3 linked regions of the Callithrix jacchus genome follow. The protein of the gene in region 2 interacts with the protein of the main gene of each other region in a pairwise test. Links are inferred from orthologs where the notes say so. Each region holds a gene or a part of one and is shown on either strand. Other genes may lie near its edges.

The links.
Region 1: the proteins of UBE2E2 (region 2) and RNF103 interact in a two-hybrid assay, tested with the Homo sapiens proteins (2 studies listed by BioGRID). The link is inferred for Callithrix jacchus from reciprocal best matches to the Homo sapiens genes UBE2E2 and RNF103.
Region 3: the proteins of UBE2E2 (region 2) and ZNRF1 interact in a two-hybrid assay, tested with the Homo sapiens proteins (2 studies listed by BioGRID and IntAct). The link is inferred for Callithrix jacchus from reciprocal best matches to the Homo sapiens genes UBE2E2 and ZNRF1.

Annotation. Positions count from the first base shown.
Region 1 is NC_133515.1:26,365,775-26,370,973, reverse strand, and holds part of RNF103 (E3 ubiquitin-protein ligase RNF103), read right to left. Parts: intron 3,918-5,199; coding exon 3,778-3,917; intron 1-3,777. UniProt on the Homo sapiens protein: Acts as an E2-dependent E3 ubiquitin-protein ligase, probably involved in the ER-associated protein degradation pathway.
Region 2 is NC_133518.1:61,543,529-61,548,727, reverse strand, and holds part of UBE2E2 (ubiquitin-conjugating enzyme E2 E2), read right to left. Parts: intron 1,462-5,199; 5' UTR 1,454-1,461; coding exon 1,278-1,453; intron 1-1,277.
Region 3 is NC_133521.1:32,359,390-32,364,644, reverse strand, and holds the start of ZNRF1 (E3 ubiquitin-protein ligase ZNRF1), read right to left. Parts: upstream 3,790-5,255; 5' UTR 3,136-3,789; coding exon 2,712-3,135; intron 1,998-2,711; exon of another isoform or gene 1,783-1,997; intron 1-1,782. UniProt on the Homo sapiens protein: E3 ubiquitin-protein ligase that plays a role in different processes including cell differentiation, receptor recycling or regulation of inflammation. Mediates the ubiquitination of AKT1 and GLUL, thereby playing a role in neuron cells differentiation.

The sequences.
Region 1 (5,199 bases), on a different chromosome or scaffold from region 2:
CTGCTTCTCTGACCAAGAGTCTTTTGAAAAAACAGTAACCATCTTCTATCTGTGATGCTATGAAGACTGGGGCCAAAGAATCCACAAAACTGTTAAATGAATAGCTAATGAAAGATATGAGCTTAGGTTAGGGACAAAGCAGAAAAACGATGTTAGAAATAACTTAGAAAAAAGAAGACTTGGTTCTTCATGTGCATAGTGTGCCAATGGTAAAGATGTATATGTATGTTCTTGCTACCTTGAAAACTAAAATTAGTTCTGTTCACATTATAGAGACTATATGTAGAATGGACCTAGAAAAACTTGAAAATGTGAAGAGGACTGAACTGGCTGGCATCTGTGCATCTTTATCTATGAAAACACTCCTCATAGACTTAAATGACAGAGAACAAATTAGTCAGCTTCTTCTAAAATACAGTAGCCTCCCCTTATCCTCAGTTTCACTTTCTGCAGTCAACTGCAGTCCAAAAATACTACATACAATTAGATATTCAGAAAGCAAGTAACTACATTTACATAAAAGTTATTTCAGTATATTGTTATAATTGTTCTATTTTATTATTAGTTGTTGTTGTTACTGTGCCTAACCTATACATTAAACTTTATCACAGGTATACATACATAAGTAAAAACATAGTATATGTAGGATTTGGTACTATTCATGATTCAGGCATCCACTGGGGATCTTGGAAGGTATGCCCCTCAGATAAGGGGGGACTACTGTAAACAGAAAAGGACAACAATTCAAATTGTTAAAAATTGAATCTTGAAAGTTATCCCTTACCATAGATTAAAATATATGATCTGAGCTGAAAGAATGGCAAGCAATGGAGACAATATTTCTCTTCTGTTTCTAGTAGATATTTTCAATGTTAAACATAGCTTAAAAAAATACAACCCTCTTTTAAGAGCTTAAACCAGGGTAGCTGTGCTGATTAGCTTACGTGGTTAGTTCACAGTGCCAAGGACAGGGTTTCAATCTCACTCTTCTCAGTTGTCCTGCCAGAGATTGTTGTTTCAGACTAGGCCAGCCATTTGACAGATATAAGCCACCGGCCCCAAGGAACACAAGCCAGACAGTGGTGGTCAGTTGACAGATATAAGCCATTTGACAATTATAAGCCACCGGCCCCAAGGAACTCAAGCCAGACAGCAAACCTTGAGCGTCACTGGTAAAATTAAGTAGGTGTCCTATTGCATCATTTCCATACACAGAAAACCATAGAAATACATTCTCTTTTTCTTGAGAGTCGTTTTTCAACTATCAATACCTATAAGGTTTAAAAATATTTTCAGAGGAAAATAATTTAGCAACTAGAATGTGTACCATTTATTATCATTATTTGTTCTTCATTCAAGTGTTACCTTACCAGAGAATTCCTTGACACTCTCATTTCCTTAATCTGCTTATTTTTCTTCCTAGTACTTTCCACTGACTAATGTCATAGTAAATATTTACTTATTTATTTTTTGGAGATGGAGTCTCACTCTGTTGCCAGGCTAGAGTGTAGTGGCACAATCTCAGCTCACTGCAATCTCCACCTCCCAGGTTCAAGTGATTCCCCTGCCTTAGCCTCTCAAGTAGCTGGGACTACAGGCATGTACCACTAAACCTGGCTAATTTTTTACATTTTAGTAGAGACGGAGTTTCACCACGTTGGCCAGGATGGTCTCGATCTCCTGACCTCATGATCTGCCCACCTCAGCCTCCCAAAGTGCTGGGATCACAGGGGTGAGCCACTGCGCCTGGCCTTAAGTATTTATTTATTTGGTGTCTGCCTTTGCCAACTGGAATGTGAGCTGCCTGGCAGGGCAAGGCCTTAGCTTGGTATGTGTTTCTGGTATATCTTCAGGGCCCAGAACAGGGCCTTGGCACACCCACATCTACTGAATAAACTTTTGATGAATTCTGCCACATATTTATTACAGGAGTTTAATTCATGGGTATCTTTAACGTAGATCATTAACAAGCCAAGAACATACTGCTAACTATTGAACCAGAATTTATTTGTTGTCTATAGACTGCATCCTAGATAGCAAAAGAACTCAAGACTTTAGACATGGCCCTTCCAAGTTTCAAAGGTGTGCAACATCTTCATCATTTATTTCCATGGGATTAGTCAATGTGGGTGACAAACTGACACTGAATGCAAGGCAGTGGGACTGGCTACTCAACTCATTCTCAGTAATAAAATCTTAAATTATCAAAACCAGTGTCTTTCTCAATCAGACTATGAGAAATGAGTACCAGATCCTTTTGATCTGGGTAGGAAAAGATAAAAGATATAAAAAGAAAAAAGAAAAGAGAAATGAGTACCAGAGAAAAGAAATAGAACAACAATATACTTATAAATTAAAGCTTTAAAAAAAGCTACAGCTTATTTTTCAACTCCAATTAACTAAACTAAAATAAACTAAATAAACTAAAATTTAAATGGATAATGTATACCCTTCCATTCTCTCTCCCATTGCTGAACTTAAAAATTAATGAATTAGATTATCTGGAAGGTAAAAGAACAAATCAATAGGAAGGTTACAATAAAGAAAGGCCATGGATAAACAATGTAATCTCTGGAAGAATTCCCAAATCTCAACCCTTTAGCACAGTGGACTACTGTACTATTCTATCCTCTTTAGATGTATATGTATTTATCTGAGGCCATGTGCAGCAGAAAAATCTACCCATTCACAATCATACTGCTAGTCAATGACAGTACCAGACCTGCAACTGTGGTCTCTGAACGCGAAGCTTTTTCTAACATATTCTGCAGTCTTTGCATTCAGAAAGAGATATGAAGAAACTATTTTAATTTTCATGACCTAAATAAAACTTTGCCCACTCCAGTGTGAAATAACAAGAGTACCAGAAAAGAAATCAGAAGACTTGGGATTTCATCCTGGTTCAGTATTACCAACCAGTTCCATTACCTTGGGCAAGATACTTCACCTCTCAGAGTCTCAGAAAGGGTTAGTCTGATATAATTTCCAAGCTTCAGCCATTCACAGACTACATTAATAATTTTGGCCACATTCATGCTGTTAATTTACTTGATATGTCACTTTAAATGAATGCACAGTTTTAAAATATAAGTAACTTTAGTCCTGTTCTAAGCAATATTTATGAAATTTACATGTTCATATAATATAGATTTTTCTAATTTACATTAAACTATGTAAACGACAATGTGTTCCACTTACAATAAATCACATCTTGGAAAGTATATTTTTAAGGTCCTTCATAGCTCTAAAACTCTAATATGCTAATTAAGTCTCACAGTTTTGCTATCATAAAAACAGGTGTATAAAAAGGTTAAAAAGTATAATCTCATCACCATGAGTTACATAATGAGCACCCCCACCATTTTCCACATGGTCACAAAGTTGGCTACTTCTTATATAGAAAAATTAATCAAGTCACTGAATTAAAAACTGGAGATAAAAACCAAGAGAAACAGAGTAAATCACCAAATAAAAGGGATATATATGTGTATTTCTCAATTCAGCGAGGTCCAATAATTAAAATAGATTTGCTTCTCCGGATTCTAAACAAAAAGTTGACCCCCATCCCAACTTTCTCTTTCCCACTACTCAATCTTCATTTTCCTCAGTCTCCAAAACCTTTTTAAGAAGATACTAGAGCCTCCCTAAGAGAACTGAGTTATGTGTGAGAAACAAGACATAAGTACACGAAAATGTCACTGGCTCCTATATACTATTTAGTAAAAACAATTTTTTTAAGGTTCTCAAATTATCAAGAACTATCACTGCTTTTCATACCTGAACCAGCCAGATGCCATCTTTTGTGTCTTCTACAAGCTCATAGAAGTGCATCTCACCACTGAAATTGGTACTAGAAACAGATTCGGATGCTTCTTCTTCCTTGAGAGCAGAATAGAGCTCACCCTCCATCAAGTCACCTGAAGAAAGGAAAATAATAATACTAATAAGGTTGCAAAAATCCTAGATTCCCAATTTCAGTAATTCCATTTTTTACACTGTTAAGAATCATGTTATTTTACTTTCAATTGTATTCTAGAGACAAGAACTACTAGTAGAACCTGAGTGTACTCACTTAAGAGTCATACATTCAGTAAGTATGTAGTAAGAACTTACTGTGTGTCAGGCAAAAGTGAACAAAATAGACAAAAATCCGTCTTTTATAGAACAGGGCTTACATTTTAGTGGGATTATCACATAATTATTAGGAAATTACTGAATTTGTACCAGTCCAAAAAGGCATCACCTTATTAATTATTTAGCTTTGTGTATGACATATCCAGGCTTCATACACATTTTTAAACAGTATGACTTATATGCTTCTTATTTAAAAGATTTAGAATTGGGTTCACAGAATTTGTCATCAGCCCTGCTTAAAAGAGCAACAGGATTTGTGTGACTTGGAGGTTAGAACTTTACCTGTTAGAACAAACTCCACATTCATATACAAATTTACGTGCAAATTTGTATCATTAAACAAATTAACATTAAATGTACCATTAAACAAAAGGAAAAAAAACCACTAAGGTCAAATTATTTTAACTTTCACCTTAATATGAAACAGTGAGAAGCCAAGCACTGCAGCATGATAGCAGCAAAACCATTCACATATCTTACAGTTAAACTGCCATACCATGAGTTTTCTGCCATAAAGTGTGTGATTTGAGTCATACTTTTGTGGGCTGTGCATCTTTAAGTTATATGTGGACTCCTAATACATTCAAAATGCCAAGTATTTGCAGGCCCAAAAGAAGGCAATAATAAATAGCAGTCAAAAGAAAAAAATATGTGTGATCAAACTATTTTCCATAAAAAAAATAATTTGGTTTTGGCAGTTAAGACACTTCTCATCTCTAAACCAAGCGAGTTTATTTATTAGAGCTCTTATTCTAGTTACTCCATTTCTTCCCCCTGGAGTAGAAATAAGAATCACCACAAACCAGTCAGTAAACAAGGGGCAAGAATAATACATGATTTTATATTTTCTCTCAAGAAACATTTATCACTTGTGCAGAGTGGGTTCCTCTCCTCTACCTTAATAGTGAGATATGAGTTTTATAATCTGAAACCTACAAATATCCAAGTGTTAAACTACTAGTAAGCTCATATTCTTGTCTATCACACTACATGTCTATAGAGTACTAAAGAAGGAAAAGATTTGTCTTGTAAAAGACACAGCTGACAGAAATACCTGAAACAACA
Region 2 (5,199 bases):
CTCCAACATCTCTCACCAAGGAATCTGAGAAGGTTCTTTCCAACCCTATTGATTGGCTAAGCCAAAGGGAAACAAGGTCTACTAAACTATAATAATGCTTTATTTTATTTTATTTTATTTTTTGAAGCAGAGTCTCGCCGTATCGCTAGGCTACAGTACAGTGGTACAATCCCGGCTCACTGAAACTTCTGTTTTCTGGTTTCAAGCAATTCTCCTGCCTCAGCCTTCCAGGTAGCTAGGACTACAGGTGCACGCCATCAGGCCCAGCTAATTTTTTTGTATTGTTTTAGTGGAGAGGGGGTTTCACCATGTTGGCCATGATGGTCTCAATCTATTGACCTCTTGATCCACCCACCTCAGCCTCCTAAAGTGCTGGGATTACAGGCTTGAGCCACTGCACCTGGCCCAATAATGTTTTTTTTTTTTATCTTTGAGAAAGGAGTTCCCCTTAATCCACATCATACAATAACATATAAAGCTGTAATTCAACATTCTGACATTCCACTATGCCTAAAAGTTAGACTACTTTTATTTGTACTTCCTATTCGATCAATATAAAACATACAATAACAAAGCAAGAACATAAAATCACAGAATCAGGAAAGACACTATATTTATCTTTCAAATTATTTTCCAAGAGATATTCTATAATGTAACAATATCAAAACAGATTCCCTTTAAGTCCAATGACATGTCAATTATCTTAAGAGACTGATGTACCAACAGAAAATCATTCAAATACCTACTTTCCAGATCCATCTATTCCTCTAGAGAAAGAGAAACTGTGTATCAAGACAGACCCACTGACTAATGTAATGAAACCAAGATGCACTTGTTGCTAATGTCAGCATTTCTGACTTTACCAACTGAGAGTAGTGGAAAATAAACTATCATTCACTCAATAACTACTTCAATAGATTCTTAATCTCTATTCTGTGTTACTGAACAGGAAAAAAAAATTTATGGTCAAGTAACTGTAAATGAAACCACTGCAATTTTACATGCACATCCTGTATATGCTTCCTTAATGATACACAAAAACACAAACATACTATGGATATGTATTTTATGAATCTGCCATGCCATTTAACTGACTTTAAATACTTAAGTTCCCTATGGTTAAAACCATGTAAAAAAGATCGTCTGTAAGGGGAAAGAAAAATCCATGAAGTTCATGGCTTAAATATCCCGGAAAAAATGATTAAATGCAAAAGAAAAGTAGAACTTAAGATGATAAACTGATACCAAAAATAAAAAGGTTACAATAACTGAGGTACCTTTTAGCACTAGTTGACAACTTAGCAGCGGTTTTGCTGGATATTTTTCCCTCCTTTTTCTTGGGCTGAACTTGTTCTCTTTCTGGTTCTTGCTGAACACTTTCACGTTGATCTCCATCGGAACTTCCTCCACTAGTGCTTGGACTGTCATCAACTCTTTGTGCCTCAGTGGACATTTTAGATCCTAGATTAAAGAATCAAAAATCATTTATTCCGCTGTGAGGAGAATTACAGTACGCTACTTCCATGACACACAGAATGAGCCTCAAAGAAAACAAGTAAATCTCAATATAAAATGGATAAATTGGTCATTTACAAAACAATGCAGTTTTGAGAGTTGCTATAACTTTTCTTTCATCCATTCAAAGTATATTGTAAAATGAAAGCATACAAAATTTATACATGAAATGTTCACAGCGACATTATTCATAATAACCAAAATTGGAAACAACTCAAATATCCACTAAGGGATGAATGGATAAACAAAATGTAGTAGTATATCCACATAATGTACTATTAGCCATAAAAAAGAATGAAGTACAGTGTCTACGTGCTACAAAATGGATGAACCTTGAAACATTATCGTAAGTGAAAGAAGCCAGCCACAAAGGACCACAAACTGTTTGACTATTTATATGAAACGTCCAGACTAGGCAAATCCATAAACACAAAATTCAGTAAGCAGATCTCATGCCTGTAATCCCCAATGCTTTGGGAAGCCCAGGCAGGAACAGCCTGGGCAACATAGTGGGACTCAATCTCTACCAAAAAAAAAAAAAAAAGATTACTATCACTGCATTCCAGCCTGAGTGACAGAGTAATACCCTGTATCAAAGGAAACAAAATTAATAAAAAAAATAAAGAGGGTAAGTGGTTGCCAGGGAGTGAGGGGAGGGAGAGTAGTGAGGATTGACTGCTAATGGGTATGATACTTCCCTTTGGGGTGATATAAATGTTCTTAAATTAGATAATGGTAACATTGCATGATTCTAATTGTAAATATTCTAAGAACTACAGAGTTTTACATTTTTAAAGGGTAAATTTTATGGTATATGAATTACATATAATAATGCTGTTATAAAAAATAGGAAAAAAATGATTAAGGGTCTACTCTCTACCTGGTGCTGTGCTAAGCCCTTTGGTCCTACAACTATGAAAAACCTGGCCCAGTCAACTTGCTAAGTACTAAAACGAAGGTTTGTACAAAAAGCTGTGGGAACAGAAAAATGGGTGGACACTTAAAAATCCCTATTCAAATCAGTACATCCTCAGCACTGGGTTATGGTTAAAATTCTCCAAACTAGTAAATTATTTTAAGTGACCTTTGCAATAACAGATGAACACAAAGGTCTACATGACTGCATGATTCTAAATAAAAACTGAACCGTATGATGGTGTCAGCATTGATTCAGCTGTATACTAAAGCAACCATTTTTCATAAGAGATGGAGACGCTGAAGAATTTTTTTTTTCACAGTCCGGTTAAAATATTCCTCAAGGCTTTCAAATTCCCTCTCCTCTGAGTTCATGCTCCCCGAGCAGCTCTGATTACCAACTCAATTTCCGAAATACCTTGATATTTAGGTAGCTGTTATAACCTAGACAGCAGACACAATTCCTGTAAGTGAAAAGGAATATCTCTTCTCAACTGCCATTCTATCATAATCAATTTCTGAGTTTGATTACTATGAATACATCCCTTATGAGCTAACTAGCTTAGAGTATTCTGACAAATCCAGAACGGAACCAACAAAACCTATGTCCAGACTCTAAAAGGCCTTGTGCTTACCACGGTTTATCACCTAATAATCACTTTGAGCACTGTATAGCTACCTTCTCAGACACCTCTTTGAAAACAAAACTACCTATGCTTAACAAGTACCATTAACACAAAATACACCTTTAAAAATTATAGGTACACTGAACAAATTCCTTTTGAAATGGATTCTTTTGATTAATCAAATTAGAAGTTCAAATAAAACTGTTTCTGATATGATCAAGAATAAGAATACATAAAAATACTTCAAATAAAGCAAAAATTTTAATTACTATAATTTAGTCCAAATAGATAGCTATTTGACACTAATTAAAATTCATCATTAACAAAGATTTAACTTGTAGCTTGCTCTAAGCAAAAGCAATGTTGTAACATGGATCTTTAATGGATTGAAATTTTTATAAGACAAATCAGAAAGCAATGAAAAGAATGGAAGCATCAGGAAGCATAGAGAGGCAAAGAGTCAAAAGAAAACAGTGAATGCTTTCACTGACACACCACATACACCACCACCAGCACCCCTTCAACTACAACAGCTCCCCATGCCAAACAAAAACAGGTCTGCCCCAACAGTTCTGAAACACACTAACGGAAAAGCTGACTACTTTTCTACCTATTCTGTAAATGAAGAGCATCAGTCTCTACAGCTGTGACATCTTTTATGAGCACTAAAGTCACTTAATAGAATGCTGAAATTTTATATCAGTATGTTTCACCGCTAGCTCTAAAAATCGTAACATATTTCTTGCTTTTTTTCAGTTTTATTTCACTCTAAATTCTTATTCTTGGATTTAACATTGTTTTTCTTTCACCTTACTTCTTTCAGTTAAATTTTATCAGATGTTTGAAACCTTGAAAGTATGTACATAATAGCATATCAGATAGGGTGGCATGCATGGGAGTGAAAAAGAGAACAATACTCAGGGAAAGGTGCTCAGATACAGCAAAATGCTGCCAGCAATACCTTAAGAATTGTGAAATGAGACATCATTTTATACATTTTAAACCACAAGCAATCCATTACATGACAAATATATGGGAACCTCAATGAAATAATATTCTCTACACTGAGGCTGCAGCTTCAGTTTAATAAAGTAAGATTTAATAAACTATGCTGAGAGTTTCAGTTGTGTATCACATTAGTTATAAAGCCACACATTCTTCTTAATATTCTTATTTATGTGCATTTACATACTATCAAATAATGCCATAGTTACATAATTCCTTATAAAGATTACTCAATGATACGATCTGAGCCATAATGTGAAACCCAAATTTCATAAACTACTGCCAAATATCAAAGGAAGCCTGAAGTAAAAATTAGTCTCACTAGAGAACTAATAAAAATACTATTAAAAATGCCCCAAAAGAGGCATAATTTCTAGTTTTACATTAAGGAAAAGAATTATTTCCACTTTTGACTTAAGATATCTTATTTCATCCAAATGTTAACCTACAAATGATGAATCCATCTCAGGCCACTGATAACCACTATGGGAACTTTTAGAAATAGTTTTCACATCTCTTTTTCAAATATTACTAATAAAAGGAATTTCTCCTGGGTTTGTTTTTTGAGTACTTGATTACAGAAAAAGTATAGAAAAAAATTGTTGTACCACTCAGGTGAAACAAATTTTCATGAAGAAAAAGTAGTCTATAAATCATTTTAATTAGTCATAAGTGTAAAATTGATGTCTCTCTAAAGTACAAATGAATAAAAATTCCTAACTTAAAGTTCTTTAAACATTATCTTCTAAATTAGCATTTTAAAATAAACTCCTAACAGCTAATCTGAGCCGATTATCTAATCTACAGGGAAGATAAACTTAAATCCCAGGGGTAGAAACAAAGAGTTACTCTCCAATGATAGTTTCAAAGATACTGAGATATATAAATTAATATGCTTATTTCATAACTCAAAGTAAAACTTGATTTTTAAACATAAAATAGTAAGGTAGTCCTTCCTAAAACTATTTTAAGAGACTTACTTTCTGTTCCTTCTTCAACACAAACTAAACCTGTATTAGCTATGTACTCTATGTTGTAATTACAGTCCTGGAAATTAGCAACATACAGTGAATGAAACTCACATGTTCCATAAAAATGAAATGATTTGGCTTGAAGTATCACTGACTACATAAAGCCA
Region 3 (5,255 bases), on a different chromosome or scaffold from region 2:
CGCTTCCTCTCCCAGGATTTGGGGAGCAAGGCTCGCGCTCATGAGGATGATCACAGATATTTAAAAAACAACAAAGATGAGGTTTGAGAGAGGGGATATGTGTTGCCCAAGGTCACAGCTGCTCACAGGAGGAGCTGGGACCAGGACCCTTTAGTATTCTACCTCCAGACTCAGCCTAAGCCCATGCTCTCTAAGAAGGCCTCATTTACACTGAACTCCCCCACGTATTTCACTGACAACTGTTTTCTGTGCCCATGAAGAGTTGCAAGAGCACCTTGAAAACACAAGCAAAAGCATCACATATCAATTTCCAGGCATCTAATCAATTGTGCACCGAAATCCTTACCCTTCTAATCTTATAACACAAGAGCAAAAGCTGCTTAGACCTTACACAAAGGCTCCAAAGCAAAAACAAATTTTGCTTCTTGCAGTAATGAAGAACAGAGGAAACAGACATCCTGGAAGAGCCCATGATCTGTTCCAGGTGAGATGGAACCACTGCTGCACATGAAGGTTCATCTCAAATGAACTGCACTGAAAAAGCTAATTACTTTATCGGATAATAGAATAAATCCCTAAAAGCAGCGGTTCTTAATCAGAGTGGTACCATCCATTCCCCAAAGGGCATTTGGGAGTTCCTGGGGACATTTTGGGGTGACACACTGAACTGCTGGATGCTGTCAGCATTAGTAGGTGGGGCCAGGTATGCTCAATGTCTTGCAGAAGGACATGATGGTCCTACACAGTAAAGAATGGATTACCTACAATATTAATAGCAGCCACCCATACACACTTTCAACACTCTCCCTAAAAGACTAATATGCTCCAACTTTCATGTATCCCCACAGGTCAGTGGCTCTCCCTATCCTTACCATAACCGGATGAAAGAACTTAAGATTTCACAGCTTAGGATCGAAATTTTGGAATCCAATTATAAGTTCATAACTCTAGCATGGAACCTGGTGGCAGCATAAGAATAAGTAAATACTTAGTAAGAAAAATAAAAATAAATAATAAATAATAAATAAATAATCATTAAAAAAATAAAAAATTTTAGTAAGAGACAGACTTAAGAAATTTTAGCAAAAAAAAGAACCCCCCCAACACACAAAATTCTGTAATTTTAGAGACACTTCTTATAGTGCTTTTCAGTTCAAAACCAGATACTCATTACAGTTCTTTTAAACACTTAACCAGTCATCTTAAAAATATGGCTAACTCTCTGGACTAAATTTCATAGGAAATATTATTAATTTCAAAACGCCTAATTCTGATCAAATGCCTCAAAGAGCCAAAGGCAATCAAGTCTTGCATCTCACTCAGGGCAGAGTTCGATGAGGTCAGAAAAGCTCCAATGATATCCAGAAGTCTGTTCAGAGATTAAAATACCCTAACAATTCACAAGCTACTTCTAAGTGTTACCCTAAATTAATCACTAATACAGCTACTCCCCCAACACTATTTCACAAATTAAAGTTTATAGAATTAACAAAAAACCAAACCAAATTAAAAAAAAAACCCAGGCTATTTATAGGGGAGGGGGGAGATAACCCAAAAGTCAACCCTGTTTCACAGTGGCTAAAACAGTGATCCAACTGATATTATCCTCCATAAAGTACCCTAAAGGCAGGAGAAATCTTTCCCCCACACAACATCTAAATTTTCCCAACTTACCCAAAAGAATTTGAAAATGTAACTTCTTCACTCAACTTGCCAATTAGTAAATAGCAGTCCCACACCTCTTTTGACCAATTTTCTAGAAGCCTGACCTAGCAGACAAACCTGTTTTCCTCCTGCCAGGTCTTTTCTGTCCCGCCAGTAGGAATCTGGGAAATCCCCCTCCAACCTTTCGCTGGCTTGTCACCAGAAGTTCATAAAATGAATTCATCCAGATTCTTTGAATCCTCCTTTTCCCCAGTCATGTGCCAACTATCAGGCAACAATGCCCCACCTTGACCGGCTCCTTGTTACAAAAACATGCAGATTCACAGGAAGACCAAGCACTTAGCATGAAGCAGAAGAAAAAAGATGGAGGGAGGTGAGAGTCGTGGAGCCAAGCCTGCTGCATGCAGCATGGGTGACCGGAGCCCTGGTCCTGCAAAGCCCCCGCGAGCTTGGCTGGCTGGGCCCTCCATACAGCAGCCACACCTGTCTATGCCAGCCGCCTGCCGACTGCTCCATTTTAAACATTTCAAACAGATCTCCAGCACGGTGGCAAAACTGGGCACCTCTCTCTCCCAGCAAGAGTGAGAGCCCTAATCCAGGCATCACTTGCCCCTAATTTTATTTCATTTTCACACTCTGTTTAGGAGACACTGCTTGCTCCAACTGGCTCCAGCTCTCCGTTACCAGTGAGGCAGGCACAGTGCTGCAGTGGCAGAATGGAAGCACCAAGGCTGACATGCTATCAGCCAGACAAAACCTCTTCACTGAGGGTGATGACAATAAATGGGACTCTAATTGGCAGGCTTCGCTCTGCCCTTCCACAAGTGAACACACGCCGGGAGTCCTAAAACGCCAGGCTCCGCAGCCTTACAGAAAGCCTCGCTTCCAGAAGGTAGGTATCCCATTCATCCCTTGGCATCGGGAACCAAATGGAAGGCAGGCAGTTCCCGGTCGTGCACTACATTCCCAAACCTTGGCACGCACGCGAAGGCTTGGGGCGCCCTGGTACGCCCTCCCTCCGAGGCCTCCACCACCCGCGGACTCACCACTGTGCGAGCTGAACCACCTGGGTCCGATGTGCAGAGGTAGAGCATCCGCCAGCGAGGCTCGGGAGCCCAGGTACAGCATCCCGTCTCTATGGTGACCGCCGCCCGTCTCCTGGTAACCATTGCCATGGGCATAGGTGGAGTCGGACGTGGACCCTCCGCCGCCGGGAGCCCTCTCGGAGTCGCCGGTGCCCCGGGAGGCAGGGGTGTAGAGGCCAAAGGGCACCCCCCCGGCGGTGCTGGGGTCCATGCCCATGCCTGCCACCGAGCTGACCGAGCGGCTGCGCAGCCCCATGGCCCCGCCGCCCGTCCGGTAGTGCCCGAAATGGGGCGCCCCTCCCGGCGGCGGCACGGCGCTGTCATCGGTGGAGACGCCCGGAAAGGGTCCCCGGGAGCGGGCCGCCGTGCTCTGCTTGCCCCCCATGCTTGCCCGAGCCCCGGTGGGGCGGGAACCTGGAGGCCGAGACCCTCCCCCACTTCTCAGCAGCGGGGGGAGGGCTGGGCGAGCATAAAGGGGGAAGGAGTCAAAAAGGAGACCCGAAGGGAGAAAAGGAAAAAAAGCAAAAGAAAAAAGGAAAAAACGGCGGGGCGGAAGAGGCGGGCGGGCGGGGATCCCAAACTCAGAATTTCAAACGATCCAAGCCAAATGCATGTTTCCCCTCAAGGTCCAAAGAGGCGCAGTCCGGCGCGGGCTCCGCGCGCCACAGGCCGCCCCCGGGCTCCGAAAGCCAGGGGGAGCCGCAGGGAAGGAGGGAGGGAGGCGACTGCGAGCGGCGGGCGGGCGCGGGGAGGCGCCGGAGGAGGCCGCCAGCCCCGCGGGAGGAGGCGGAGGAGGGCCGGGGGCGCCAGGCGCGTCCCCCGCCTCAGGACGCCGCGACCATGGACGGCGGCCCGGATACCTCCAGGCCTCGGGCTGGCCGCGGCGCTGGGCGGCCAGGCGCAGCAGGGGAAGCCGCGGTCGCGTCGCGTCGCGTCGCGTCGCGCTCTCGCTCCAGCAGCCCGCCGGCCCGGCCAGCCGCGCCGCCCAGCTCCGTCCCGGGCAGCGCTCGCCGGCGCTCCTCGCCGCCGTGGAGACAATGGAGGGCGGTAGAGCGCAGGCGCGACCCGCGCCTCTCCCTCCCCCCCGCCGGGTTAACCCTTTCGCGGCCCCTGCGGCGCCCCAGCCGCTGACGCCCTAGCGGTTCCCACCCACCGCCCGCCCCCGGCTGGCCTGTAACCTGGGCGGCCTGAGGCACTGGGCGTTAGCCTCAGAAACCAGCCGTCTTTAAAAAGCAAACCCTTCTTAAGTCCCAGAAAGTGGCTAATTATTCAAGGGGAACCGCGCATGGGGGAGGAGCGGCAATGGTTCGAGGGGTGGGAAGGAAACACCGGGAAGGAGATTTACTCCCTACGCCTACCTGACTCTGAGGGTCACCGGTTGAGCTCCCCTCCTGGCACAAATTTGCCCCTACAGCACCCTCTGGTGGACGTGCTGTCCATTCTTTAGGGGGTTCCCTATCCAAGCACCCCTCTCGTCCGGAATCTCAACATTTGGCGGGGTTTAGCTGTTTGGGGGTAAACAGCGCCATGGGGACACTTGTGAATCCGGGGTTTTGCTGACACGAGGTCAGAACTTCCTATTTGGGGCTTAAGCAAATGAGTAGATTCCTTAACTAAAATGTAATTTTCAAAATCAATAGGTGTACCATAAAAAGTGAATAGATATGGACATGGAAATACAACAATGCAGCTAAAAGTGATTATAGAAACCTTCGGTCCAAGGCTGGAGCCCTGTGTTTGTTTACCATGGGCAGTGTTTTGGCCCACACCACAGGCCAAGGACACGTTGACCAAGGCTGCATCATTTTGCAAGGGAGTATTCCTTTGCTACCTCAGTCCCTGTCTTTCTCCTACATCCACATTCATTCATTTAAGAATTGTTTTTCTTTTTCTTTTTTTTTTTTTCTTTGAGACGGAGCCTTGCTCTGCCGCCCACGCTGGACAACCTCTGCCTTCCAGGTTCAAGCGATTATCCTGCCTCACCCTCCCGAGTAAAAAAAAGTCTTGTTAGAAATTTGAAAATCAGGCCAGGTACAGTGGCTCAGGCTTGTAATCCCAGTACTCTGGGAGGCCAAGGCGCGGGAGCGGGGGGAAATCACCGGAGACCAGCCTTGTAAACATGGTGAAACCCCATCTCTACTAAAAAGAAAAGAAAAAAAGCCAGGCATGGTAGCTCACACCTGTAATCTTACCTACTCGGGTAGCTGAGGCAGGAGAATGGCTTGAACCCAGGAGGCAGAGGTTGCAATGAACCAAGATCACATCACTGCACTCCAGACTGGGCAACAGAGTGAGACTCCATCTCAAAATATACACAATATATATGTATATACTAGTATATTGTGTGTATATGTGTGTATACACACAATAGTATATATATGTGTGTGTGTGTGTATATATATATATAAAATAAAGATGGGAGTTTATATAAAATAGGGAAACTCCCATCTTTACTATGTATATACACACACATATATAGCAAAGATGGGAGTTTCCCTATTTTGC